Linked DNA regions of Saccharomyces cerevisiae S288C. Changing the gene in region 4 together with the main gene of any one other region gives a genetic interaction. Each region holds a gene or a part of one and is shown on either strand. Other genes may lie near its edges. The genes, in order: SCS7, IRA2, SSD1 and SWI4.

Evidence for each region.
Region 1: mutations in SWI4 (region 4) and SCS7 together harm fitness more than expected from each alone (negative genetic interaction), as found in Saccharomyces cerevisiae (4 studies listed by BioGRID).
Region 2: mutations in SWI4 (region 4) and IRA2 together harm fitness more than expected from each alone (negative genetic interaction), as found in Saccharomyces cerevisiae (5 studies listed by BioGRID).
Region 3: mutations in SWI4 (region 4) and SSD1 together harm fitness more than expected from each alone (negative genetic interaction), as found in Saccharomyces cerevisiae (6 studies listed by BioGRID, with this or other methods).

Annotation. Positions count from the first base shown.
Region 1 is NC_001145.3:807,919-814,102, reverse strand, and holds SCS7 (fatty acid alpha-hydroxylase), read left to right. Parts: upstream 1-3,325; coding exon 3,326-4,480; downstream 4,481-6,184. Other genes in the region: ZDS1 (Zds1p), read left to right, coding at 123-2,870; YMR272W-B (uncharacterized protein), read right to left, coding at 2,907-3,014. UniProt on the Saccharomyces cerevisiae protein: Ceramide hydroxylase involved in the hydroxylation of sphingolipid-associated very long chain fatty acids. Postulated to hydroxylate the very long chain fatty acid of dihydroceramides and phytoceramides at C-2.
Region 2 is NC_001147.6:169,345-176,641, reverse strand, and holds the start of IRA2 (Ras GTPase activating protein IRA2), read right to left. Parts: upstream 5,573-7,297; coding exon 1-5,572. Other genes in the region: ATG19 (Atg19p), read right to left, coding at 6,668-7,297. UniProt on the Saccharomyces cerevisiae protein: Inhibitory regulator of the Ras-cyclic AMP pathway. Stimulates the GTPase activity of Ras proteins.
Region 3 is NC_001136.10:1,043,585-1,052,114, reverse strand, and holds SSD1 (mRNA-binding translational repressor SSD1), read left to right. Parts: upstream 1-2,722; coding exon 2,723-6,475; downstream 6,476-8,530. Other genes in the region: sphinganine-1-phosphate aldolase DPL1, read left to right, coding at 1-1,656; SRP101 (signal recognition particle receptor subunit alpha), read left to right, coding at 7,104-8,530. UniProt on the Saccharomyces cerevisiae protein: Can suppress the lethality due to deletion of SIT4, and partially the defects due to BCY1 disruption. Is implicated in the control of the cell cycle G1 phase.
Region 4 is NC_001137.3:380,664-388,955, reverse strand, and holds SWI4 (SBF complex DNA-binding subunit SWI4), read left to right. Parts: upstream 1-3,079; coding exon 3,080-6,361; downstream 6,362-8,292. Other genes in the region: TMN3 (Tmn3p), read left to right, coding at 1-1,024; U6 snRNA complex subunit LSM4, read right to left, coding at 1,161-1,724; karyopherin KAP123, read left to right, coding at 6,853-8,292. UniProt on the Saccharomyces cerevisiae protein: Part of a complex involved in cell-cycle-dependent transcription. SWI4 and SWI6 are required for formation of the cell-cycle box factor-DNA complex. The repeated element in the upstream region of HO (5'-CACGAAAA-3') is called the cell cycle box (CCB).

The DNA.
Region 1 (6,184 bases), on a different chromosome or scaffold from region 4:
CGACGTTTTTCTTTTTTTAAGGTTTTTATTTGGTCTCCTAGAATTTAAGGTCTTAGTTAGTTTTGGTTTGTTTTGTGGGTTACATATTTTCAATTCAAAGGAGAATTTAGCTGTCTTTTATAATGTCCAATAGAGATAACGAGAGCATGCTGCGTACTACATCAAGCGATAAGGCGATCGCTAGTCAAAGGGATAAACGGAAGTCTGAAGTTTTGATTGCTGCACAGTCCCTTGACAATGAAATCCGCAGCGTAAAAAACCTAAAAAGATTGTCGATTGGGTCAATGGATTTACTTATTGATCCAGAATTAGATATAAAATTCGGTGGGGAATCTAGTGGGAGACGATCATGGTCTGGCACGACATCCAGTTCTGCGTCAATGCCAAGTGACACAACCACCGTTAATAACACACGATATAGCGATCCAACTCCGCTAGAGAACTTGCATGGGAGGGGTAACTCAGGGATAGAATCCTCCAATAAGACTAAACAAGGTAACTACTTAGGTATAAAAAAAGGTGTTCACTCTCCATCCAGGAAATTAAATGCTAACGTATTAAAGAAAAACTTATTATGGGTTCCCGCCAATCAACACCCTAACGTTAAGCCTGATAATTTCCTAGAGCTTGTACAAGATACTTTACAAAATATACAACTAAGCGACAATGGTGAAGATAATGATGGGAATAGCAATGAAAATAACGATATTGAGGATAATGGGGAGGATAAAGAATCACAATCATATGAAAATAAGGAGAACAACACTATCAACTTGAACAGGGGGCTGTCAAGGCATGGAAACGCGTCACTAATACGAAGGCCTTCAACATTGCGGAGGTCATATACAGAGTTTGATGATAACGAAGATGACGATAATAAGGGAGACAGTGCCTCTGAAACAGTAAATAAAGTCGAAGAAAGAATCTCCAAAATAAAAGAGAGACCAGTGTCGTTAAGAGATATAACTGAAGAACTGACAAAGATCTCAAATAGTGCAGGACTAACCGACAATGATGCCATTACATTAGCCAGAACTCTTAGTATGGCTGGTTCATATTCAGATAAAAAAGATCAACCACAACCGGAAGGGCATTATGATGAAGGAGATATTGGTTTTTCAACTTCACAAGCGAATACTTTGGATGATGGTGAATTTGCCTCCAATATGCCCATCAATAATACCATGACATGGCCTGAACGATCGTCACTGAGAAGGAGTAGATTCAACACTTATCGAATCAGGTCACAAGAGCAAGAAAAAGAAGTAGAACAAAGTGTGGATGAAATGAAAAACGACGACGAAGAACGTCTAAAATTGACCAAGAATACAATAAAGGTCGAAATAGATCCGCACAAATCCCCTTTTAGACAGCAAGATGAGGATTCTGAGAATATGAGTTCGCCTGGGTCAATTGGTGATTTTCAAGACATTTATAATCATTACAGACAGTCTAGTGGCGAGTGGGAACAAGAAATGGGAATAGAGAAAGAAGCCGAAGAGGTACCCGTCAAGGTTCGAAATGACACAGTAGAACAAGACTTAGAGTTAAGAGAGGGAACAACAGACATGGTAAAGCCAAGCGCAACGGATGACAACAAAGAAACGAAGCGACATCGTCGAAGAAACGGATGGACATGGTTGAACAATAAAATGAGCAGAGAAGACGATAACGAAGAAAACCAAGGGGACGATGAAAATGAAGAAAACGTGGATTCACAAAGAATGGAGCTCGACAATTCCAAAAAACATTATATTTCTCTATTTAATGGCGGTGAGAAGACGGAGGTGTCAAATAAAGAAGAAATGAACAATTCAAGTACTTCCACCGCCACATCACAGACAAGACAGAAAATCGAGAAAACTTTTGCGAACCTATTCAGAAGAAAGCCACACCACAAGCATGATGCATCATCATCACCCTCGTCGTCACCATCATCGTCACCATCAATACCAAATAACGATGCCGTGCACGTTCGCGTGAGGAAAAGCAAAAAGCTTGGTAACAAAAGTGGAAGGGAGCCGGTTGAACCCATTGTGTTGCGCAATCGCCCTCGTCCTCACCGTCACCATCACAGCCGTCATGGTTCCCAAAAAATAAGCGTAAAAACCCTTAAAGATTCTCAGCCGCAGCAGCAGATACCATTACAACCACAATTGGAAGGCGCAATAGAGATAGAAAAGAAAGAGGAAAGCGATTCCGAGAGCTTGCCCCAACTACAGCCGGCCGTTAGTGTAAGTAGTACCAAAAGTAACTCTAGAGACAGAGAAGAAGAGGAGGCAAAGAAAAAGAACAAGAAGAGGAGCAATACGACAGAAATTTCCAACCAACAACACTCCAAACACGTCCAAAAGGAGAATACCGATGAGCAAAAAGCTCAACTACAAGCTCCAGCTCAAGAACAAGTCCAAACTTCAGTCCCAGTTCAAGCTTCAGCCCCAGTCCAAAATTCAGCCCCAGTCCAAACTTCAGCCCCAGTTGAAGCTTCAGCTCAAACTCAGGCTCCAGCGGCACCACCATTGAAACATACCTCCATATTGCCCCCAAGAAAGCTTACATTTGCAGACGTCAAAAAACCTGACAAACCAAACTCCCCGGTTCAATTCACAGACAGTGCCTTTGGGTTCCCACTGCCTTTGCTGACAGTGTCTACGGTTATCATGTTCGACCACCGTCTACCAATTAACGTCGAAAGGGCCATATACCGGCTGAGTCACTTGAAATTGAGCAATTCGAAGAGGGGACTGCGCGAGCAGGTATTACTAAGTAACTTCATGTATGCTTATCTGAACTTGGTTAATCACACTCTGTACATGGAGCAGGTAGCCCACGACAAAGAACAACAACAACAACAACAACAACAACCCTGAAAAGGCTTCAGCGCTGCATACATAGACATATACACATCACACGTACATACACGAAAAGATAGCTTTCATGCTCACAAAGCTACGTTCCCCACAGAATATTTCCCAGGACAACAGGGAAAGTTGGACAAACACCAAACTTCTCATAATACAATAGCCGAAAACAGTCTTGCTTTTGATAAAGAGAGCTTTCTGCGGCCGGAAGAAAATGTGCCTATTCCGCGGGGCCGTTCCGCGCAGAAACTACCGCACGACGTCGGAAATATAACGGGGTTTTGCGCGGATTTACTGACGTGTGACATCTTTTCGCAGTTAATTTTTTTTTCAATTTGGAACCGTATAAGAACAGAGGTATTAGATAGTAGAAGCTATTGTGTCTATTGTCTTTGATTAGTTTTTTTTTCTATTGTTATCGTGGCAGGCACTAAAAGCGGTGGTAAGCTAAAACTAGTACGAAGATGTCGACTAATACTTCCAAGACTTTGGAACTGTTTTCAAAAAAGACGGTACAAGAACACAATACTGCCAATGACTGCTGGGTCACTTATCAAAACAGAAAGATTTATGACGTGACCAGGTTTTTGAGCGAACACCCTGGTGGTGACGAGTCCATCTTGGACTATGCTGGTAAGGACATTACTGAGATCATGAAAGACTCAGATGTGCATGAACACAGCGACTCCGCGTATGAAATCCTTGAGGACGAATATTTGATTGGTTACTTGGCAACTGACGAAGAGGCAGCGAGATTGTTGACTAACAAGAACCATAAGGTTGAAGTGCAGTTGTCAGCTGACGGTACTGAGTTTGACTCCACTACTTTTGTAAAGGAGTTGCCCGCCGAGGAGAAACTAAGTATTGCTACGGACTACAGTAACGACTACAAAAAGCATAAATTTTTGGATCTGAACCGTCCTTTGCTGATGCAGATTCTGCGTAGTGATTTCAAGAAAGATTTTTACGTTGACCAAATCCATAGACCAAGACATTACGGTAAGGGGTCTGCCCCGCTATTTGGTAATTTCTTGGAACCATTAACTAAAACAGCTTGGTGGGTTGTTCCAGTTGCTTGGTTGCCTGTAGTTGTGTACCACATGGGTGTTGCTTTGAAGAACATGAACCAGCTATTTGCATGTTTCTTGTTCTGTGTCGGTGTCTTTGTTTGGACTTTGATTGAATACGGTCTTCACCGTTTCCTATTTCATTTCGATGATTGGTTACCTGAAAGTAACATCGCATTCGCCACACATTTTCTACTACATGGTTGCCATCATTACTTGCCCATGGACAAGTACCGTTTAGTTATGCCACCTACTCTGTTCGTCATCCTTTGTGCTCCATTTTACAAGTTGGTATTTGCTCTGCTGCCACTTTATTGGGCTTACGCTGGTTTTGCTGGCGGTCTTTTCGGTTATGTCTGTTATGACGAATGTCATTTCTTCTTGCACCACTCTAAATTGCCTCCCTTCATGCGTAAGTTGAAAAAATATCACCTGGAACATCATTATAAAAACTACCAACTGGGATTTGGCGTCACATCCTGGTTTTGGGACGAAGTTTTTGGCACCTACTTAGGCCCCGATGCCCCATTGTCCAAAATGAAATATGAATAATTATTGGTCAGCCTCGTCCAAAATTGTCAACCTAGGAAAAACAACATTACGAGCAATGAAATCTTGAGCAAAGTTCTTTTCTGCGACATATTTATTTCAAATCTTTATTTATATTATTATATGTAACTACGTATATATACATACACATGGAATGGAATCATAGATGAAATCGATGAACAAGCACGTTATTTCTTAAACGAATATCCAATCGATGACGACTATACGAAAAAGCGGCCTCAAAAAAGAACCGAATTGACAGGTACATTTTTCTTTCACAGATCAGGTTGGCAAAAAAATACTAACCGTATCCTGTGTTACTGTCGTTAGAACAGGAATCAAGATGAGCACAGTGAAGTTATCTGATAGTCCCTAGACTCTCATTGACTTTTTGTAATATTAGGACACAGAATATACTAAGGGTTCTTCTCGAGAATAAATGAACACATAAGCAAATCAGAAATTCTACATACTATAAGAGTACCTCATACCTAATCATTTCTTAATCCATTCCGTTATCAGTAATTGCATTCGAGGTTCCATTAAACTGGTGCCGACATTTATATAGTTATATTGGTCCAATGATCTTATCATCCTCCACACCGTATACAACTATATCTTAGTAAACAACGGCTAGTAAGTGAAACGATGGTCCATTTTAGGCACGAAGAATAAAGTAAAATCTGTATCTGCGTTGCGCAAATCATCAATTGCATTTATGTTGGAACGAGAGTAATTAATAGTGACATGAGTTGCTATGGTAACAATCTAATGCTTACATCGTATATTAATGTACACCTCGTATACGTTTAAGTGTGATTGCACCTATTGCAGAAGGAATGTTAAACGAGAAGCTCAGACAATACTGAAGCTGTGTTAAAGACCTATTAGTTGAACATGTTATGGTAGGTACATATATGAGGAATATGAGTCGTCACATAAATGTATAGTAACTACCGGAATCACTATTATATTGGTCATGATTAATATGACCAATCGGCGTGTGTTTTATATACCTCTCTTATTTAGTATAAGAAGATCAGTAATTATTTCTTCATTAATACTATTTTTTACCTCTAATTATCAACAATTTACATAGCCCAAAGTCATGAGGAGAGCTTCTACTATAAACCTCACTCACAATTCTTTCTTTAGTCAGACGTAGAAACCTAAGATTTGTTAGTATATACGGTTTTCCGTACCAGTACAAGATCCATTGCTTGCGATATTGTTAAAATAGGGACCATCTTTCTTAAAAAGGTTCCATAAAACCGGAAGTTTTAGTGTACACTAACAACAGAAGAAAAAGGTCCTATAGTGTAGTGGTTATCACTTTCGGTTCTGATCCGAACAACCCCAGTTCGAATCCGGGTGGGACCTTCCCTTCATTTTTCGTATTTTACGAAATTTAAACCATCATTTTTTTTTTTTGAACCAATGCGAGAAAAAAATAAAAAGAGAAAGGTAAGAAAAAGAAACCAACCTCTATACAGATACAATCGCTCATCTCGATATACTTATTTTTACATACCAGAGATATCGAAGAAGTTACTCAATTATTTGACAAGTGCTCATCATTATGTCATTTGAAGTTTTGCGTGTGACAGACAAGTCCTAATAGGATATCCTTTAGATAAACCATTGGGGCCCCTTATATGAGGTTTATACACACACATATATATGTATACATATGGCTAAATTGCCTTC
Region 2 (7,297 bases), on a different chromosome or scaffold from region 4:
AAGCAGGACAAAAAAACCGTAAAAACACGAAAGACCCAGCGGCGATAATTGCGTGATCCGGAAATTTTTCACACGCAACTTTATAAATGTTTTGGCAAATATAAAATAAAGGAGGGGGAAAATAAGATACGGAGTTGGATATGGATTCCAATAATTCATTCATGTATTTAACGAAGAGCTCTATTTGACGTTCAGCATCTGAATCTTCCGGTTTTAGTTTCTCAATTTCAAAAAAATCTCTGTTCTGGATAATTTTTTTTAGTAATGGTTGCAAAGTGCGAATCAAATATTCGTTACCCTTGGACCTGGCTAGCATAGATAATGATCTCGTAGCACAGCTATTTCTTCTAAGGATATCCGTAGGTCTGGAAGATTTTTCAATTTCATTTTTAATCAACTGTGCCACTACAATGTGGGTGGCATTCCTCGTTTCAAATGCATTTATTAAGCCAGCAGCATAAGCATCAATATCGCTAGCGGGACAAACCGCTGCTCCAAAGGACGATAGCTGGGGATGTTCAATCGTATATCGCAAAAATTTGTCTGCTGCCTCTAATTTTCCAAGGTCAGTTTTAGCCGTGTATGTCCGATAGTTCGTAACGATATTAATGAAGACCTCCAAAAATGCATTCCTAATGTTTCGATTTCCGGAATAGCCCATCGGTAAGGTGAACTGCAAACTCGCATCAACATTGGTGTTTGAAAGATTTGTTAATGAAAGTATTACATTGTCGTTGAGGACACTCATTTTGTGCCTCAAGAATACTGGGTAATTGTCACGATCACTACTTTTTTCAAGGCCTTTCATTAAGATGTTGAAATAAAACCCAAATATCACAGACCTAGATCGAGATAGTTCGGGATCTGACGCGGCAGGTGGAATCTCTAAGAAAGTATGTCTCGTGAGGTACGCAATAGCGGTTGAAGCTTCGATTGCCGTATCTATGTATAGAATATCCATGTCTCTTTTTACCAAATCCATTTCTTTTAGAGGTTTTGACAAGTTTTCGAAATCGTACTCTCTCGCAATACTCACTTGAAACCAATCAGTGATTTGCCTCAACCATTTATTTTTAACGTGAAAATGATTTTTGACACCTAAATTAACCTCTGAGTGCTGCAAGGCACTGAACATTTTGGTCATTTGAATAATTGCCTTGAGATATTTTGGACAATAGGCTGGTATTTTTTTTATTTCATCTGTCAATAAATCAATAAGATCTACAATCTCTGTGGAAAAAAGCATCATTACATAATTGTCATCATCACGACCTAGGATTGTCCGCAGCATTTTGATTATTTGTTCTAATAAAACATAGGAACTTTCATTTTCTGGTATTGATAAGTCTGAACAAGCAAGTTCTTTTAACTTGAGCCTCAAATTATTAAAAAGTAAGTTAAAAGACAAAGGATGCAGTTCTACACTTAGAATATCTCTTGAATTTTCTCTCGTTAATAAATCCGGATAGTTTAACCATTGGCATTGTTTTGAGATAAAAGAGTCTATATTTTTTTTCAATTCTGAAACGGTGTCGAGTAGGTATGGATACATTTCTTGCAATATCTTTTTATTGATGAATAGGATACCCGACAAAGAGGCTAAAATACCCGCGAAATTTCTGAAGTCGTTCCGTTCTTGTTTTTCTAAACTTTTACTGTGTGTGTAAGTATGCCACTTCTTATAGATCATCCTCATAGAATCAAGTAAGATAGCGTTAGGAATAGTAGCAAATCGTAAAATATTATTTCTTGTCCTCCTTTGGAAAGCAATTGAACCAGAAGTTGTGTAGTTGTCATGACACATCGCTTCTACAAACTCAATATTATGAACCCAAGTTTTATCAGCATCATCAATATTCCTCTCATGAAAATTGATTGCAGAAAGATACTCTGTGTAAGCAATCTTTAAAGTCTTTTCAATTTTTTGTTGACTAGAGTATAATGAAACAAATAGGGCCCTACCAACAGTCCCCATAATCAGCGGAAAGGTGAGTTTTTCAGAATCACTTATGTATTCCATGTGGTGTGAGGCCTCCGCGATCCCTGCTAAATGTGATCTAACCTTCATAAACTTGACAGTTATATCCAAGAGAATTTGACGCTTTTCATTATTAATTTTCAAATCGAAAAGGCCCATTGCAAATAATGTTACAGTGTAACTGCAAAGAAGATGATACCCTTCAATACTGATATTCTCATCTGATTCACCATAAGTAATAACATTCGATAATAAGGTATCCATGAATGATTGAGCAGTATTCTGTAAATCTACATCCGGACTTACGATGGCGACGAAAATCGGTTTCATAATATTTCTAAAATCCTGCGAAACCCATTGTAAATTCGAGTTTATATTGTGAGGAATGATGAAGTAACTATTCGGTCTCTTAAAAATACTGAAAATATTAATCATTATTCTTCTAGCATCTTGAAGAGTTGCTTCATTCAAATCTTTTGGTATCAAATGTTCTTGAATGTAATTATTTGTTGATTTCATGAATTTTCCTAAACTTTCATCGGAATAACGCCTCGTTCTTATTTTCTGCAAAGGCGATCGAATTCCGAATGCTGCCGACGATAATGGAGTAGAATTTGTTATGGCCATTGGTGTGGCACTGATGCTTTCCGTTTGCGGACGTTGTACTGGTGAAGATTTTTCCGTTCCTGGAGGTGAAGTCAATGTAGTCGGTATTTTATTCCTTATAATACTAGATGGCCCACCTAAAGCATGACGCGCTCTTGGGGCCACAAGATGTGACAAGTATGGATCAGAAGACAAGTTCTTTGGTGAACTGTTTAATGAATTAACGTTGTCAGAATTTCTTGAAGTACTTGAACCAACTAAAGACAGGGTGTTCATTGGACATATATCAGTATCCAGTCCCAGCGGAGAAACTGGTGTCATTGAACTTTGAGATGTAGATCCTGATCTTGACCGGGTTGTCGAACATAAAGAGGGTGAGCTCCCCTTGAAATGTTTCTTCGTACCATACTCATTGATAATTGTACCGTCAAGAATGGAAGCAACTATGTCGGTGATTTGCTCATCAAAATACGGAAATTCTTGTAAAAGAATATCTGCTATAATGGAGAATAATGTTTTGAAAAATTTAGAAATTTTAACCGCAATTGCCTTCCGCAATTCCTTCTTACTTGGTATGTCGAAGAATATCCTGAATCCTTCAGTATAAAGGCATAGCTTCTGCATGTTTAAATTGTTGGCCATTGTATCGATGCTCAGACGTGCCAGTAATAATTCATGATCGAATTGAATAGCTGAAGAGAAGAATATTAATTGTAATTGAACAAACGTGGTGGAGTTTTTTTTCAAACAAACCATCAAACTGTTATTTATTTTTGAATTCCAGTCTTGACCGACGCTTAAATTTGTCCCCATTATGGGGATGAGTCTCTTGGCAAAAAGTACTGAGGGTAAGTTTCTATCCACGAGAAAGACCGCAGAAGTCATTGTAAAGAATGATAGTAAGGCCCTCATTGTATCTAAGAGGGCAACATCTGATACAGCTTGATTCCCATTTAAATTTCTTAGCAACATCTTCACAAATTTTACAGTTTTTTTGGTTGAGGAAGGTAAAGAAGTTAATTTCTTTAAGCCTTGTGTAATATGTTTTATACCCGAAGTCTTTTCGGAACCTGTCTCGTGTGCAGTATTATTGAAAGAACTTGTTCTTTCTTTTGGACGATGCATAGTACAATCAGGAATATATTTGAATGATGTAGCGTTTAATTCATTAAAAAGGTCAATATCGAACATTGTCAAAGTAGTTAAAAACTTCAGTACGGATGTGTGTGGTAGTACCTCAGTATCATCAAAGTGCGTGTATAACTCCAAAACATTATCCAAACGAGTGACAGACAAAAAATGTTCGTCATAATCCTTACCAGTATGGCCAGTTTTGTGTGCATCGTATGAAGCGCGACTTTGTTGCTCTGCTGTGTATCCAGTTGGGGTGGAATTCGATGGTGAAGCAGCTGCGGCGGCGGCTGCAGCTGCTGAGTTCAACCGCTGTTGCAATTGTGTTGTTGGAGTTGGAGTTTGAGATAATAATGAAGATGCACTAATAGTGATGTTAGACATCGTGGGAGTATCTGGTAAGGAAGGGTCATATTCTCCTGGTTGAGTGTGAGTAGAGAAATCAGTTGTTGTTGAATTAGACGTTGAAGATGACAGTGAAGTAGAGGATTGAGAGTTTGTAGTCCATGAAGAATGTAGTTTTCTTTCAGACTGCTGTTGAATGTATGACTGGTGGTGAGAAAGCTGACGACTTAAGGATTTTGCTATTATGTTTTGATTGTTGTTATCCGATGATGATGAGCTAGGTGGTGACGATGGCGAGGAGGACGAAGGGGAAGATGAGCCTTGATGAGCATTTTGATTGGTGGTTATCATGCTATTCACATTAAAAGTCGAATGGATCTCCTCGAAAAGTGTATGGTTTAACGTGTTTAAGGATTTCGAGTGTTCATTGTTATTATCTTTTAATAAGTTGAAGAGTTCATAATATTCCGCAGGCCTAGCCATTATCCAAAACATTATTGCTTTGGCGCTGTAATGCAAAAGTAGGCAATGATAAATCGTTTTCCTTAACGTCACCGATAAGTTTTTGATGAGTTCCAAGTATTTCTTAAAATTATGCTTGCTTAAATAGATGAAGCTGAAAAGATCAAAGTGGGGCACTATGCTGTTATAAACGGAAGATGGCAAAGAGTGTGAATGGGAGTGTGAATGCGTGTGTGTCTGTGTTACGGGCACTTGCACACTCTTTCTGATAAATTCAAAATACTCGGACGGATTGGAAGCCGCTACAAATCGGAGAATATGGCCTAGAGTAGAGTCAATCATTTTACAATGAGAAGGATGGTTGTGCCTTGTCAGATAGGATTTGTGGCGGGGAAGAATCGAGGAACTCAAAGTCGTTAGAATGTTTCCATGAACATGACTGATCATATTTTGTAAAATTTGCAAAGTTCTTGTATTGAACTTCAACTTCGCGCAACTCTCAAGCAATTTCGATGCCAGTTCCGGTATCAGTGCCTGAGGTTTGCTCTGGTGGAAAAAGTGTTTGTTGCCATTGGAATGAGTCGACGAGTAGTCGGGCAGAATACTGTTAAGCTTTGGTCTGTACTTCTGTTCTTGGTCATGTTCTACGTGAGTCGAAATGTCGTTGTAATGAAGGCTTTCTTGATTTTGCCAATTATACTCTAGCGCATCACTTAACAATCTTAGTATAATCAGTATTGATTCAATAACGTCACTGCTACCCTTATCTGAAATGATTTCGTGCCCTTGAAGAAGCGATTCTATCAACTCCAAGGTGCCTTCCACCATAGCATTTGCATCTCGGGAAACGGTAACGTTAATGAGCACAGATCTGCATGAAATGAATGAGGAATACTCTTCCACTTCCGAATAGGTACTTAGATTAGACTCCACCGGAAGGATCGGGAGAATTCTTTCAAAAAGAATATGATTAACCAACGTCCGAGTCATGCGGGATGACTTGGAATCGGTCCCGTGTTCTTTCTTCTTATTCTTAGTGGGCTGGGACATGCTTCTCCCTGAAGAAAGATAATGTATACAGTTTAGTTGATATCAAAAAATGGTGTAACGTTGGGGGAAAAGTAACACTAAAGGAGAAAAGCAAAACGAATAACAGAGGACAATGCTATATGCTAGTGTGCTAAAATGTGGTTAAATGTTTGCTACAATTGGTGAAAAAGTACTTAAGCCTTGTTCTGATTTTGTTTTCGCTTTTTCGGTCTTTTGTTTCCCAGGAGCTCTAGACAATGAAGTAAGCGGAGAGAATGTAGGGCAATAGGATGTGCTTAACTCCCCGGTTATATGTAGAATAGATAATCGTTGGGCAAAACTTTTCACAAGAAGACACAGCAAAGCTTGGGGTTTTCAAAAAGGCGTGCGAGCTTTATTGTGATGGAAATTTTCGTTTCATCAAGGGAGCGTTCTAGAAGAAACGAGAGCTCTACGAACATTTCTGCGCCGCGGATTGATTCACCGATCGGGTGACCCTTTTTGAGGAGCTACTTTGGGTTGGAATCACACTAAAATGTGTAAGGCGGTCAGTATAGCAAAGAACTTGGGGTGGGACGCTGGTGCCGTGCAAGAAAGGCTACGTGAACCTCGTACTAGTCCAAGATATTGGCTCGATGCATTAATGGCAGACTCTTATCTCGCTAAGATGTTTGAAGGCACATCGGTTCTAGAGGTCCAAGTCCCAACCCAAGTCAAGGCCAAGCAAGGCAAGGGGATTTAGAATAGTTCTATCATTCTGCGGGGAATGAGCGGAAGAGTAAGAGTATTGGTTCTGTTGTGGATGACACTTACAAGGGTAACTACTGTTTTTCTTGTTTTCTTATTTTCTTGTTTCCCTGCTTTTCTCTGGGATCTGTGCGGAAGGCGTCATGTCCCTGCTCGTCCCTGATTGTCCGTACTTTTCTGGTTAGCCGTATATCGTTTGAAAGTAGATGGCATGTATGAAGAGCATGATGCTAGGTGATAAGTAATGAGAGGCCTTAGGAAGTAAAGAGTTTCGAAAAGGGTTATTTTATATTTATTGTATTTATTATATTTAATATATTTATGTGTATGTGAAAAGGTACTCATTGCTGTATAAAAATAGAGTTTGACCTAGAGTTCTTCCCAAGTCAGGGCTTTTTCATTGTCGTCACCGTCATAAGAGAGTGAAATGGATGTACTGATGATACTAGAGTCATCCAGTTCTGGTAACGTATCGATTTGAAAGGAGTAAAATGGCTCTTGGGATGCCTGTAAACTTTCTGCAGATAATCTTGAAGGTGGCCTTAAGTTAATCATTGGAGAAGAGCCATACTTGCCCAAGAAGATCACTTCTCCATACTGATTTTCAATCTCGATAGTGGAGCCGGCCTCTAAATCAAGTGCGTATGGAAAGTATCGGTATTCCTTGTACTCCTTTATTCCTATTTCATGAGGACCCATGTCAATAATTTGCGTGGTTGGCTTATCGCCAGCGTCAGTAAACTTCAGTTTGCAGTTGCCTGCCAAAACAGAGTTTGTGTTGTTAAACAACTGGAAATACAATGAATTGTCCCTTTGGTTCATTGTGATTTGCAATGAGCGCTCATTTGGGGGTTCCACTTCTATTTTAGTTTCCTTTTTCGAATGGTCAGAGGCGATTTCCGTCTTACTGTCACATTCTTGTGATAACCTCTCATAGTCATGGTAACGTTGAAAAACGTCCTCAAGTTGTTTGACTGTTTTCAACTCTGTGAAAAAGTT
Region 3 (8,530 bases), on a different chromosome or scaffold from region 4:
TTAAAAATAGCCATACATGGTTACCTCAGAAATACCCCATGGTACAACATGTTGAAGGATTATTTGTTTGTGATCTTTTGTTACAAGCTAATAAGTAATTTTTTTTATCTGTTGAAAGTTTATGGGCCGGTGAGGTTAGCAGTGAGAACATACGAGCATAGTTCCAGAAGATTGTTTCGTTGGTTATTGGACTCACCATTTTTGAGGGGTACCGTAGAAAAGGAAGTCACAAAGGTCAAACAATCGATCGAAGACGAACTAATTAGATCGGACTCTCAGTTAATGAATTTCCCACAGTTGCCATCCAATGGGATACCTCAGGATGATGTTATTGAAGAGCTAAATAAATTGAACGACTTGATACCACATACCCAATGGAAGGAAGGAAAGGTCTCTGGTGCCGTTTACCACGGTGGTGATGATTTGATCCACTTACAAACAATCGCATACGAAAAATATTGCGTTGCCAATCAATTACATCCCGATGTCTTTCCTGCCGTACGTAAAATGGAATCCGAAGTGGTTTCTATGGTTTTAAGAATGTTTAATGCCCCTTCTGATACAGGTTGTGGTACCACAACTTCAGGTGGTACAGAATCCTTGCTTTTAGCATGTCTGAGCGCTAAAATGTATGCCCTTCATCATCGTGGAATCACCGAACCAGAAATAATTGCTCCCGTAACTGCACATGCTGGGTTTGACAAAGCTGCTTATTACTTTGGCATGAAGCTACGCCACGTGGAGCTAGATCCAACGACATATCAAGTGGACCTGGGAAAAGTGAAAAAATTCATCAATAAGAACACAATTTTACTGGTCGGTTCCGCTCCAAACTTTCCTCATGGTATTGCCGATGATATTGAAGGATTGGGTAAAATAGCACAAAAATATAAACTTCCTTTACACGTCGACAGTTGTCTAGGTTCCTTTATTGTTTCATTTATGGAAAAGGCTGGTTACAAAAATCTGCCATTACTTGACTTTAGAGTCCCGGGAGTCACCTCAATATCATGTGACACTCATAAATATGGATTTGCACCAAAAGGCTCGTCAGTTATAATGTATAGAAACAGCGACTTACGAATGCATCAGTATTACGTAAATCCTGCTTGGACTGGCGGGTTATATGGCTCTCCTACATTAGCAGGGTCCAGGCCTGGTGCTATTGTCGTAGGTTGTTGGGCCACTATGGTCAACATGGGTGAAAATGGGTACATTGAGTCGTGCCAAGAAATAGTCGGTGCAGCAATGAAGTTTAAAAAATACATCCAGGAAAACATTCCAGACCTGAATATAATGGGCAACCCTAGATATTCAGTCATTTCATTTTCTTCAAAGACCTTGAACATACACGAACTATCTGACAGGTTGTCCAAGAAAGGCTGGCATTTCAATGCCCTACAAAAGCCGGTTGCACTACACATGGCCTTCACGAGATTGAGCGCTCATGTTGTGGATGAGATCTGCGACATTTTACGTACTACCGTGCAAGAGTTGAAGAGCGAATCAAATTCTAAACCATCCCCAGACGGAACTAGCGCTCTATATGGTGTCGCCGGGAGCGTTAAAACTGCTGGCGTTGCAGACAAATTGATTGTGGGATTCCTAGACGCATTATACAAGTTGGGTCCAGGAGAGGATACCGCCACCAAGTAGCTATATAGAATCAAATCTCATACATAATTTAAAGAACGAGAGTGCAATGTGATGATTGTGATTCCTGATCCTATGTCACGGACGACGACTTGTATCACCTTGAATTTTCTGACCAAAGGGGCCGAGTCGCTTCACGAGGGGATGAGAAAGGAAAAGAAGGGAAAACTAAACTTATATAACGCAGGTGTGTCTTTCTACCATTGCCATCAAGTTATTAAAGGCCACGAACAGGAACGCTAGAGACCTGAGTTTGTCATTTGTTTAGTTCAAGGATTAAATAAACAATCCTTCTACAAATAAGTCCTTTCTTTCACCATCGTCTTAAGACCACTGCCTCCAACGAAAACTAACCTAAAAGAGTTTAGATCACGAGTATTTTCGCTCTTTCCCTCCTTCCCCTGGTTTTTTCTCGTTAGTTCTTTTCATTTAAAAACTCTTCTCTTGTCAAGAATTTAAAAGACGAAGAGTCCAACACCGACTGATTTTCTAACAGCAAAGGAACGAAGTTTTGCCGTGCAAACAATAATTTCTAAATTATAATTTTGAGCCTAGCTGAGAAATAGGAGAGATTATATTTTAGAAAGGTAAGAAGTTTTTCTGTCATTCCTTTTAGAATATTTGCTACGTTCTAACATTTTTTGTTACTCAAGCGCATTTTCTGCAACTTCCCTTATAAGCTATTTCCTTTTTTTGGGACCGATCCTTTCTTCTGTCTTTGGTAACCTAAAAACCGGAATAGTCAAAGTTATCTGCATAGTCTTCTTGCCAGGCTTATTTTCGCCATACCATTTTTCTGGTACCCTAAACATTTTGGTCTTATTTTAGAACAGCTGGTGCCTCGTTTTTCCGCATTAGGCGCACTTTTTTCATAGCCACTATTCTAAAAGAAACAACTTTTTTTCAAAGGGAAATCTAAGTTGCCTGCACGAAGAATAAGACAAGGGTTCATAAACGTATAGTATTTGCCAAGTTCCATCTTTTTCTTTGTCACTTTAATATCGCAAAACAGAACACCAAAAACCTTTCAGCGCAAAGATTTGGCCCAATTATTCCATCTTTATACACTATGTCTAAAAATAGCAACGTTAACAACAATAGATCCCAAGAGCCAAATAACATGTTTGTGCAAACCACAGGAGGTGGTAAAAACGCCCCAAAGCAGATTCATGTTGCACACAGACGTTCCCAAAGTGAGTTGACAAATTTGATGATTGAACAATTCACTTTGCAGAAGCAGTTGGAGCAAGTTCAAGCACAGCAGCAACAGTTGATGGCTCAGCAACAGCAATTGGCACAACAGACAGGACAATACCTGTCAGGAAATTCTGGCTCTAACAATCATTTCACGCCTCAACCGCCTCACCCTCATTACAACTCAAACGGTAATTCACCTGGTATGAGTGCAGGTGGCAGCAGAAGTAGAACTCACTCCAGGAACAACTCCGGATATTATCATAATTCATATGATAACAATAACAATAGCAATAATCCTGGGTCTAACTCACACAGAAAGACGAGTTCACAATCCAGCATATATGGCCATTCCAGAAGACATTCTTTAGGTCTAAATGAAGCGAAAAAGGCTGCTGCGGAAGAACAAGCTAAAAGAATATCTGGGGGTGAAGCAGGCGTAACTGTGAAGATAGATTCTGTTCAAGCTGATAGTGGCTCAAATTCTACTACAGAACAATCTGATTTTAAATTTCCACCACCACCAAATGCTCATCAGGGCCATCGTCGCGCAACTTCAAACCTATCACCTCCCTCTTTCAAATTTCCTCCAAACTCTCACGGGGATAATGACGATGAATTCATAGCAACCTCTTCAACGCACCGCCGTTCAAAGACAAGAAACAATGAATATTCTCCAGGCATTAATTCCAACTGGAGAAACCAATCACAGCAACCTCAACAGCAGCTTTCTCCATTCCGCCACAGAGGATCTAATTCAAGGGATTACAATTCCTTCAATACCTTAGAACCTCCTGCGATATTTCAGCAGGGACACAAACATCGTGCCTCTAATTCATCAGTTCATAGTTTCAGTTCACAAGGTAATAATAACGGAGGTGGACGTAAGTCCCTATTTGCACCCTACCTTCCCCAAGCCAACATTCCAGAGCTAATCCAAGAAGGGAGACTAGTAGCTGGTATATTAAGAGTTAATAAAAAGAATAGATCGGATGCCTGGGTCTCTACAGATGGCGCTCTTGATGCGGATATTTACATTTGCGGCTCCAAAGATCGTAATAGAGCACTTGAAGGTGATTTAGTCGCGGTAGAACTATTAGTTGTGGACGATGTTTGGGAGTCCAAGAAAGAAAAGGAAGAAAAGAAGAGGAGAAAGGATGCCTCTATGCAACACGATCTAATTCCTTTGAACAGTAGTGACGATTACCACAACGATGCATCTGTTACTGCTGCAACAAGCAACAATTTTCTATCTTCTCCCTCCTCGTCTGATTCGCTAAGCAAGGATGATTTATCCGTCAGAAGAAAGAGGTCATCTACTATCAATAATGATAGTGATTCCTTATCATCTCCTACCAAATCAGGAGTAAGGAGAAGAAGTTCATTGAAACAACGTCCAACTCAAAAGAAAAATGACGATGTTGAAGTTGAAGGTCAGTCATTGTTATTAGTTGAAGAAGAAGAAATCAACGATAAATATAAGCCACTTTACGCAGGCCATGTCGTTGCTGTTTTGGACCGTATCCCTGGTCAGTTATTTAGCGGTACATTAGGTTTGTTGAGACCATCCCAACAAGCTAATAGCGACAATAACAAACCACCACAAAGCCCAAAAATTGCTTGGTTCAAGCCTACTGATAAGAAGGTGCCATTAATTGCAATTCCTACAGAATTAGCTCCAAAGGACTTTGTTGAAAACGCTGATAAATACTCCGAAAAGTTATTCGTTGCCTCTATTAAACGTTGGCCAATCACATCTTTGCATCCATTTGGTATTTTAGTTTCCGAACTTGGAGATATTCACGATCCTGATACTGAAATTGATTCCATTTTAAGGGATAACAATTTTCTTTCGAATGAATATTTGGATCAAAAAAATCCGCAAAAAGAAAAACCAAGTTTTCAGCCGCTACCATTAACGGCTGAAAGTCTAGAATATAGGAGGAATTTTACGGACACTAATGAGTACAATATCTTTGCAATTTCCGAGCTTGGATGGGTGTCTGAATTTGCCTTACATGTCAGGAATAACGGAAATGGTACCCTAGAGCTGGGTTGTCATGTTGTTGATGTGACCAGCCATATTGAAGAAGGCTCCTCTGTTGATAGGCGTGCGAGAAAGAGGTCCTCTGCGGTGTTCATGCCACAAAAACTTGTCAATTTATTACCACAATCGTTCAACGACGAACTGTCGTTGGCCCCTGGCAAGGAATCAGCCACGCTGTCGGTTGTTTACACTCTAGACTCATCTACTTTAAGGATTAAATCTACTTGGGTAGGCGAATCTACAATTTCCCCCTCAAACATCTTGTCTTTAGAACAATTAGACGAAAAATTATCTACTGGAAGTCCCACTAGCTACCTCTCTACTGTACAGGAAATTGCTAGATCATTTTATGCTAGAAGAATAAATGATCCAGAAGCTACATTACTTCCCACCCTGTCCTTATTGGAAAGCTTGGATGACGAAAAAGTTAAGGTTGACTTGAACATCCTGGATAGAACTTTAGGCTTTGTTGTAATTAATGAGATTAAAAGAAAGGTCAACTCCACTGTTGCAGAGAAAATTTACACCAAACTTGGTGATCTAGCTCTTTTGAGAAGGCAGATGCAACCCATTGCAACCAAGATGGCGTCATTTAGAAAGAAAATTCAAAATTTTGGTTACAATTTTGATACCAATACGGCGGATGAATTAATCAAAGGGGTGCTAAAAATTAAAGATGACGATGTTAGAGTCGGAATTGAAATTTTACTGTTTAAAACCATGCCAAGAGCTAGATACTTTATTGCTGGCAAAGTAGACCCGGACCAATATGGGCATTATGCCTTGAACCTACCTATCTACACACATTTCACAGCGCCAATGAGAAGATACGCTGATCATGTCGTTCATAGGCAATTAAAGGCCGTTATCCACGATACTCCATACACCGAAGATATGGAAGCTTTGAAGATTACCTCCGAATATTGTAATTTTAAAAAGGACTGTGCTTATCAAGCACAGGAACAAGCAATTCATCTATTGTTGTGTAAAACAATCAACGACATGGGAAATACTACAGGACAATTATTAACAATGGCTACTGTCTTACAAGTTTACGAGTCCTCCTTTGATGTATTTATTCCAGAATTTGGTATTGAAAAGAGAGTTCATGGAGATCAACTACCTTTGATCAAAGCTGAGTTTGATGGTACCAATCGTGTCTTGGAATTGCATTGGCAGCCCGGCGTAGATAGTGCAACTTTTATACCAGCAGATGAAAAAAATCCAAAATCCTATAGAAATTCCATTAAGAACAAATTCAGATCCACAGCCGCTGAGATTGCGAATATTGAACTAGATAAAGAAGCGGAATCTGAACCATTGATCAGCGATCCATTGAGTAAGGAACTCAGCGATTTGCATCTAACAGTACCAAATTTAAGGCTACCATCTGCAAGCGACAACAAGCAAAATGCTTTAGAAAAATTCATTTCTACTACTGAAACCAGAATTGAAAATGATAACTATATACAAGAAATACATGAATTGCAAAAGATTCCTATTCTATTGAGAGCTGAGGTGGGGATGGCTTTGCCATGTTTAACCGTCCGTGCATTAAATCCATTCATGAAGAGGGTATAATCTCTTCTACCAATATCGTCATTGCTGTTTTTCTTGTTTTTCACTTTCGTTCTTTGGATTGTGCTTCACCCCTCAGTATCCCTTCCCTTTGTTTTTATTTCCTGCGAACATTAACAACTGCATGAATTTTGTACTTCTCCTTTTAATCCACGTTCCGGTAAGGCATCATCCAAATTTTTTTATTCGACCTCGTTAAGTCATATATTTTTTCCCAAAAATACATAAAACAATAATGCAGCCTTCTTTTCAATATTTACAACTTTTCAATTTATATTGTCTTTTGTTATTTATACTCTTATATATTAAATTTATTCCGTTACTAAATACCCTTTTGCTGTACAAATATCATCAAAGAGAAGTACTGAAAGCTTACTTTTTATGCGCTGGGTAATTTTTCCGGAAACAATAACGAAATCATCGTCGAGCAATTTTGCTCGTACTTCAGAAACTACTGCGTAAACATTTGAGGTCGTACAATAAGTAGATAGAAATAAATAAACCAATTTTTCGTCAGCGTTTAATCTGTAGCCAAAGATTTGTGGTATTCTCACAGTTTGAATAATATTCAGCTACTTCATCAAGTAGTTTTTTTCAATAGGAGATTCACGGTTCAATAAGTGCATTGATTATGTTCGACCAATTAGCAGTCTTTACCCCTCAAGGTCAAGTACTTTACCAATATAACTGTTTAGGAAAAAAGTTTTCTGAAATACAAATTAACAGCTTTATATCCCAGCTGATTACTTCCCCAGTAACTAGAAAAGAAAGTGTTGCAAACGCAAATACAGACGGATTTGATTTCAATCTTTTAACAATCAACAGCGAACACAAAAATTCTCCTTCATTTAATGCACTATTTTATTTGAATAAGCAACCAGAATTGTATTTCGTAGTGACTTTTGCCGAGCAGACTTTAGAGCTTAATCAAGAAACTCAACAAACACTTGCACTGGTGTTAAAACTCTGGAACTCATTGCATTTAAGTGAATCCATTCTAAAAAATCGTCAGGGCCAAAACGAAAAGAACAAGCATAACTACGTCGATATTCTTCAGGGAATTGAAGACGACCTGAAGAAATTTGAGCAATATTTTAGGATAAAATATGAAGAGTCAATAAAACAAGACCATATCAATCCAGATAATTTTACCAAAAATGGATCAGTACCCCAATCGCATAATAAAAATACCAAGAAAAAATTGAGGGATACAAAAGGTAAGAAGCAATCTACAGGAAATGTTGGTAGTGGGAGAAAGTGGGGCCGTGATGGTGGCATGCTTGATGAAATGAATCATGAAGATGCAGCCAAATTAGATTTCTCATCATCCAACAGCCACAATAGTAGCCAAGTAGCTCTAGACTCCACTATTAATAAAGATTCTTTTGGGGATAGAACAGAAGGAGGCGATTTCTTAATCAAAGAAATTGATGATCTTTTGTCTTCTCATAAAGACGAGATAACTAGTGGGAACGAAGCTAAAAATTCTGGATACGTCAGTACAGCTTTTGGATTCCTTCAAAAACACGTTCTAGGTAACAAAACGATCAATGAAAGTGATTTGAAATCTGTATTAGAGAAGTTAACACAACAATTGATAACCAAAAATGTAGCACCAGAGGCAGCAGACTATTTAACACAGCAAGTCTCACATGATCTTGTAGGCTCAAAAACTGCAAATTGGACCAGTGTTGAGAATACTGCTCGTGAATCTTTAACAAAAGCATTAACTCAAATATTAACGCCTGGTGTATCCGTTGATCTCCTCCGTGAAATTCAGAGCAAAAGAAGCAAAAAGGATGAAGAAGGTAAATGTGATCCCTATGTGTTCTCTATAGTTGGTGTTAATGGTGTTGGTAAGTCAACAAATCTTTCAAAGCTAGCGTTTTGGTTACTGCAAAATAATTTCAAGGTCTTAATTGTTGCTTGTGATACGTTTAGGTCTGGTGCAGTTGAGCAACTAAGGGTCCATGTTGAAAATTTGGCACAGCTAATGGATGATTCACACGTTCGTGGCTCCAAGAACAAAAGGGGTAAAACTGGTAATGACTACGTTGA
Region 4 (8,292 bases):
ATTTGGTTTAAAAGTTTTAATCCTTCTGGTCTCATTTGGGGTGCAATTTTTATTTACCATAATTGGATCCTTAACGATATCATGTTCAATGAACAAATTGCATAATGTAAGAAACAGTGTGCTAACTATGGCCATTTTATTTTTCGTACTTGGAGCATTCATGGCATCATTCGTAGGGACAAGACTCAGTATGGTAACGAAAACGAAAAGAACCAAGGCCAATTACCTTGACGATAACAGATACCTCAAAGACTACAAGAAGTTTAGTCCCATTTTTACGATACTTTGTGGGTCCAGCTTACCTGGCATTGTAATGGTGAGCACATTTTTATTAAATAGTATTGTTTGGGCACATGATTCTACAAGTGCATTACCATTCAAGACTATTGTGTTTTTCATGAGCATTTATTTCATCGTCTGTATACCACTCAGCTTGTTTGGTGGTATTGTAGCTAATAATATACCTTTGCCTCAATATTGGTTGAGTGGAATTACTAAAGATGAAAGCAATAGCGATGGCAATGGATTATTTGTACCTAAATCACGAGCCAAGTTCAACCCGTTGGTTTACTGCGGCATTTATTTATGTGGTATTTTCCCCTTGTTAGTAATTTACGTGGAAATGCAATACGTTTACAAATCTCTCTGGTTGGAGAAAACTACATTTTATTATTTTTACGGATTCCTTTTTTTGAGTATCATACTATTATGCGTGTTAACTATGGAGATATCAATTATTGGAAGTTATTTATTAATGAGATTTTGCTTCGAAGATAAGGTGGTTCGCAACAATTGGAGATGGAAGTGCTTTGAAATGGGATTTAGCGGTGGTGTATATATGGAATTGTATTCGCTATATTACATTTTCGCAGTGCTAAACATCCATGGGTTTTCATCTATCTTAATTTCCATTTGTTATAGTTTAATCTTCAACGTAATGTGCAGTTTAGGGCTTGGCGCATTAAGTTACTTAACGGCTTCATGGTTTATAAATAAAATATACCACCAGAAAGTCAACCTGTAAACTAAAGGAAAGCTCGGTAATAAAAAGAAGAAAAGCTTTTTTTAAAGAAAACGGTAATCAACATTCACATACACACACAGTACATATGTACCAATATATTTATATATGTACATAATTATTATAATACAAAATTTGTTTAAAATTCGACCTTTTGTGGAGAAGAGCTGTTAAAATGATGTTGGACGGACCCACCTAAACCATTGTTCATATTTTGGTTGTTGCTATTGATACTGTTGATACTGTTGTTAATGTTACTGCTGTTGCTGTTGTTGTATTGACGGTTTTGAGAGTATGGACGGCGGTTGCTGTTGCCGTTATTATTATTTCTTCTGTTGTAGTTACCTCTATTGTTGTTTGAATCCCTATTGTTGTAGTATCTTTTATGCCCAGGGCCGTTACTATTAGAGTTATTGTTGGAGTTAATTTGCTGCTTGACCTTGTCAATTATATTATCTTGCAATTTGATAAACTTGATAAAAGTCCCTCTAATATAAATTTCGTTCAATTTTACGGCTTTACTGCTCTCAGCATTGTCTTCTGAATTAATTGCGCTTTCTTCACTATATTCGGTTACATTAGATAAAGTAAGGTTCATCCAGTTATCTACGTTGGTCAATATCCCTTGTATAATTTCACCGTTTTTCAATTCTATTTGCATTTGTTGTCCCTTCGCATTTGTTAAAAGATATAAAGGTAGCATTGAGAAAAAATATTCTATTGTGTTTCTTTTCAGTTCGAGTTGAAGATTTATCAGTTTTTCAACTCTGTTTTACTAATACTACTTCGTTAATTTACTTTTACGATTTCCTTCTTTACCGCTTCCATCATTAGGAAGGTCTATGATACTACGATTTCACGAAAGAAAGCTGCAATAATTGAACATCATTGCTACTCCGTAAAACATGATAGTAAGAGTGCTTATCACGTGACACGTGTGCGGCAAATTTCGTAATTGATGATCAAAATGCGTGTGGGCGGCTACAATGCGGAATTTGCCTTTTTCATAGTACAGGAAACTGGCGGTAAAGGAAAAGTAGTACTTTAAACTCATTTAAAATTACTTATCACTATGAATATCTTTAAATTATTGTTATACATAATAAACTATCTATTAAAAAAAAGATGCTACCCAATTCACGTTGTCCATGGTTATTTTAGAGCCTAAAAATAAAAGGCAGTAGGTTTAGAGGGACTTCAGTACAAGTAGATAACGAACGAAGCAATTACTCTGTGTACGGTGGCGGAAAAAATGAAATGTTACTTAAGAAGGAGGTAATATAAGTACATTACATTTCAACCGCATTGTGACTGCGTACTTTAAACGATAGGTGACTGCGGATCTTAGGTCGTTTAGCAGCATACGAAAATTAGTTTTACTAAACTAGACATCTAGTAAAAGGCTGTCGAAATCTCTCAATTTAAAGAGAACCTGCTACTGACTATAAATTTTGTCACTACAAATTATTGGTTTAATCTAGCCTTCATTATGGATACAATTACCTTCGGCGGCTAAAAACAACTTGATTTTGTTACCCGCGTTTGAAGTGACGCGTCACTAACCATGACGCGAAAGTTAATTATATTCAGCTCCCCGCCTGCTTATTTCCCGTTTAGGAAATAAATGGTTAACCTAACAAAAAAAAAAGAGGAACAAGGACTAAGAAGCACGTCAACGTGAAAAACGCACAAAAGATATTATAGTTATTGCCATCCTTTAGCATTGGTTTAGCATATCAACTAATTGACTAATATTTGCTGCTAAATTCAACTGGAAGCTTTTTTTTTTTTCGAGATAATAAAAAAAGAAACTCTTTAGTGTATTGTGTTATTTTTACTATTAATTGTTGTTACAGCAGAATCACATCTAGCATTGGTCGTCGCTTTTTCAAACGATTCTTCCTCCACTTACCCTTTGAAAAAAAGGTACATTATTTCACGTTATTTGATATATTGTCAACAATAATTGCTCTTTGCCGAAAATTAACTCTTCTTTCTTTCTCATTTCCCTTCTGTCCCTCTTGCGTAGTTCTAAAAGGTTGATTTATTCGAGAAATCATGCCATTTGATGTTTTGATATCAAACCAAAAAGATAATACCAATCACCAGAACATCACGCCAATATCAAAATCAGTTCTTTTGGCGCCTCATTCAAACCATCCAGTGATTGAAATAGCTACGTATTCAGAAACCGATGTATACGAATGCTATATACGTGGGTTTGAAACTAAAATAGTGATGAGAAGAACTAAAGATGATTGGATTAATATTACCCAGGTTTTCAAAATAGCTCAATTTTCGAAGACGAAAAGAACTAAAATACTGGAAAAGGAATCAAATGATATGCAACATGAAAAAGTTCAAGGTGGGTATGGTAGGTTTCAAGGTACTTGGATCCCACTGGATTCAGCGAAGTTTTTAGTCAATAAGTACGAAATAATTGACCCTGTGGTCAACTCCATCTTAACTTTTCAATTCGATCCAAATAACCCTCCACCAAAGAGAAGCAAAAATAGTATATTGAGGAAGACTTCGCCGGGAACGAAGATAACTTCTCCATCGAGCTACAATAAAACACCAAGAAAAAAGAACAGTAGTTCATCAACATCGGCTACAACTACAGCTGCGAATAAGAAAGGCAAGAAAAATGCATCGATCAACCAGCCGAATCCAAGTCCTTTACAAAACCTTGTTTTCCAAACTCCTCAACAGTTCCAAGTAAATTCATCAATGAATATAATGAACAATAATGATAACCACACCACGATGAATTTCAACAATGACACAAGACACAATTTAATAAATAATATTAGTAACAACAGCAATCAATCTACTATTATTCAACAACAAAAATCCATTCATGAAAACTCTTTCAATAATAATTATTCGGCAACTCAGAAACCTCTTCAATTTTTTCCAATTCCGACAAATTTACAAAACAAGAACGTTGCTCTGAATAACCCTAATAATAATGACAGTAATAGTTACAGCCATAACATCGACAATGTCATTAACAGCAGTAATAACAATAATAATGGCAATAATAATAACTTGATCATAGTTCCAGACGGACCTATGCAAAGCCAACAACAACAACAACATCATCATGAATATTTGACGAATAACTTCAATCATTCCATGATGGACTCCATTACAAATGGCAATAGTAAAAAAAGGAGGAAAAAGCTGAATCAATCTAATGAACAACAATTTTACAACCAGCAAGAAAAAATACAAAGGCATTTCAAATTAATGAAGCAACCCTTATTATGGCAATCCTTTCAAAATCCAAATGATCACCATAATGAGTACTGTGACAGTAACGGCAGCAACAATAACAACAACACTGTAGCATCCAATGGCTCCTCCATTGAAGTATTTTCATCAAATGAAAATGATAACAGTATGAATATGTCTTCACGATCTATGACACCGTTCAGCGCAGGAAATACTTCATCTCAAAACAAGTTGGAAAACAAAATGACAGATCAAGAATACAAGCAGACGATATTAACAATACTATCATCGGAAAGGTCTTCTGATGTAGATCAAGCGTTGTTGGCTACTTTATATCCGGCGCCCAAAAATTTTAACATAAATTTTGAAATTGATGATCAAGGTCACACTCCACTCCATTGGGCTACAGCTATGGCGAATATTCCTTTGATAAAAATGCTAATTACCTTAAATGCTAATGCATTACAGTGTAATAAGCTCGGTTTTAATTGCATCACAAAATCAATTTTCTACAACAATTGCTACAAGGAGAATGCTTTCGATGAAATAATATCCATCTTAAAAATATGTCTTATAACTCCCGACGTAAATGGAAGATTGCCATTTCATTATTTAATTGAATTGAGCGTTAATAAGTCCAAAAATCCAATGATAATAAAATCTTATATGGATTCGATAATATTGAGCTTGGGTCAGCAGGACTACAATTTGTTGAAGATATGTTTGAACTACCAAGATAATATAGGGAACACTCCACTGCATTTATCTGCTTTAAACTTGAACTTCGAGGTTTACAACAGACTGGTATATCTTGGTGCGTCAACAGATATATTGAATCTAGATAACGAATCGCCTGCGTCAATAATGAATAAGTTTAATACTCCGGCTGGCGGGTCAAACAGCAGAAACAACAACACCAAGGCAGATCGAAAGTTAGCTCGAAACCTTCCTCAAAAGAATTATTACCAACAACAGCAACAGCAACAGCAACCACAAAACAATGTCAAAATTCCAAAAATTATAAAAACTCAACATCCTGATAAAGAAGATTCTACTGCAGATGTCAATATAGCTAAAACAGATTCTGAAGTCAACGAAAGTCAATACCTGCATTCCAACCAGCCAAATTCTACAAATATGAACACTATTATGGAAGACTTGTCGAATATTAATTCTTTCGTGACGTCGTCTGTCATTAAAGATATAAAGTCTACGCCGTCCAAAATTCTTGAAAACTCTCCCATTTTATACAGAAGAAGATCACAGTCAATATCAGATGAAAAAGAAAAGGCAAAGGATAATGAGAATCAAGTTGAAAAGAAAAAGGATCCCTTGAATAGTGTGAAAACTGCCATGCCATCATTGGAATCGCCTTCTTCCCTTCTGCCGATACAGATGTCTCCACTAGGAAAGTACTCAAAACCGCTTTCGCAGCAGATCAACAAATTAAATACAAAAGTTTCTTCTCTACAAAGAATAATGGGTGAAGAAATTAAAAATCTGGACAACGAAGTAGTAGAAACCGAATCCTCTATTTCTAACAATAAGAAGAGATTGATTACAATAGCACATCAAATAGAGGATGCTTTCGATTCCGTATCAAACAAAACTCCCATAAATTCGATATCAGATTTACAATCAAGGATTAAAGAAACATCGTCAAAGTTGAATTCTGAAAAGCAAAATTTTATTCAAAGCTTGGAAAAATCTCAAGCTTTAAAACTGGCTACAATTGTCCAGGATGAGGAATCAAAGGTTGATATGAATACTAACTCAAGTTCACATCCAGAAAAACAGGAAGATGAAGAGCCAATTCCAAAGTCAACGTCGGAAACTTCTTCTCCTAAAAACACCAAAGCGGACGCCAAATTTTCTAATACTGTACAAGAATCATATGATGTAAATGAGACGTTGAGACTAGCAACGGAACTAACTATTCTACAGTTTAAAAGAAGGATGACAACATTGAAAATAAGCGAAGCTAAAAGCAAAATTAATTCATCGGTGAAGTTAGATAAATACAGAAACTTGATTGGTATCACAATTGAGAACATTGACTCAAAATTGGACGATATAGAAAAGGATTTGAGGGCAAACGCATAAATTTTAATTCACAATGTACCAATAATTTTTACTATATTATCAGAGTTTTTAAATTTTTTTTTTTTTTTTTTGGTAGCAATTTTTTACATATTTGTATAGTCACTTTTCTCATTGCGCTTGAGTTGCTTCAAGTGCATGTCAACAAACATTTGAACTACTAAACTTAGACTATTATGGTTAGCCCTTTGCTAATTATCAGGATGTCTTTTATTACGATTGTGCTTTGTTTTCGTACAATATGATGAATGGAAAGCGCGATGAGATGAGGTCGAAAAAAAAAAAAAAAAAAAAAAAAATAGAAACATCCACTTATCCATAGATCCTTCATTTTATTTGTTGTCAGGTTTGGTATTGATTTTATTAGTCAACAAAAAAGAATAGGCAAGACCCCGCAAGGATCCTTCTTCTCGTTTCTGTATATTACCAAAATCCTGCCTTAGCAGCATAAAAACTGAGGGACGAAAAACACTTTTTTAGTATCAAGTAGTATAATGGATCAACAATTTCTAAGTCAACTTGAGCAAACTTTGCACGCTATCACTTCTGGTGTAGGCTTGAAGGAGGCTACAAAAACTTTGCAAACTCAATTTTATACCCAGCCTACAACTTTGCCAGCTTTGATTCATATTTTGCAGAACGGCTCCGATGATTCGTTGAAACAACTAGCTGGTGTTGAAGCTAGAAAGTTGGTTTCCAAGCACTGGAACGCCATTGATGAATCCACTAGAGCCTCCATCAAAACATCTCTTTTACAAACAGCATTTAGTGAGCCAAAAGAAAATGTTCGTCATTCCAACGCTCGAGTAATTGCTTCTATTGGTACTGAAGAGCTAGATGGTAACAAATGGCCAGATTTAGTCCCTAACCTAATCCAAACTGCTTCTGGTGAAGACGTTCAAACAAGACAAACTGCCATTTTTATTTTGTTTTCTCTGTTGGAAGATTTCACCTCTTCTCTATCTGGCCACATCGATGACTTTTTGGCTTTGTTCTCTCAGACAATTAATGATCCATCTTCTTTGGAGATCAGATCATTATCTGCCCAGGCTTTGAACCACGTTTCTGCTTTGATTGAAGAACAAGAAACCATCAACCCTGTTCAAGCTCAAAAATTCGCCGCCTCAATTCCATCTGTGGTTAACGTTTTAGACGCAGTTATCAAGGCCGACGACACCATGAACGCTAAATTAATCTTTAACTGTTTAAACGATTTCCTGCTATTGGACTCCCAATTAACAGGAAACTTTATTGTGGATTTGATTAAGCTGTCTTTACAAATTGCTGTTAACAGTGAGATTGACGAAGATGTTCGAGTTTTTGCTCTTCAATTCATCATATCTTCATTGTCCTACAGAAAATCGAAGGTTTCTCAAAGCAAATTGGGCCCAGAAATTACTGTTGCAGCTTTGAAGGTGGCTTGTGAAGAGATCGATGTTGACGATGAATTAAACAACGAAGACGAAACAGGCGAAAATGAGGAAAATACACCCTCTTCTTCTGCTATTAGACTGTTAGCTTTCGCTTCCTCTGAACTGCCACCATCCCAGGTTGCTTCCGTTATTGTTGAACACATTCCAGCTATGTTGCAATCCGCAAACGTTTTTGAGAGAAGAGCTATTCTTTTAGCTATTTCCGTTGCTGTTACTGGTTCTCCAGACTACATTTTGTCTCAATTCGACAAAATTATCCCTGCCACCATAAACGGTTTGAAGGATACTGAACCGATTGTTAAATTAGCTGCTCTGAAGTGTATTCACCAATTAACCACTGACTTACAAGACGAAGTTGCCAAATTTCATGAAGAATACTTGCCATTGATCATCGATATCATTGATTCTGCGAAAAACATTGTCATTTACAACTATGCAACTGTTGCTTTAGATGGTCTGCTTGAGTTCATTGCTTATGATGCTATCGCTAAGTACTTGGAT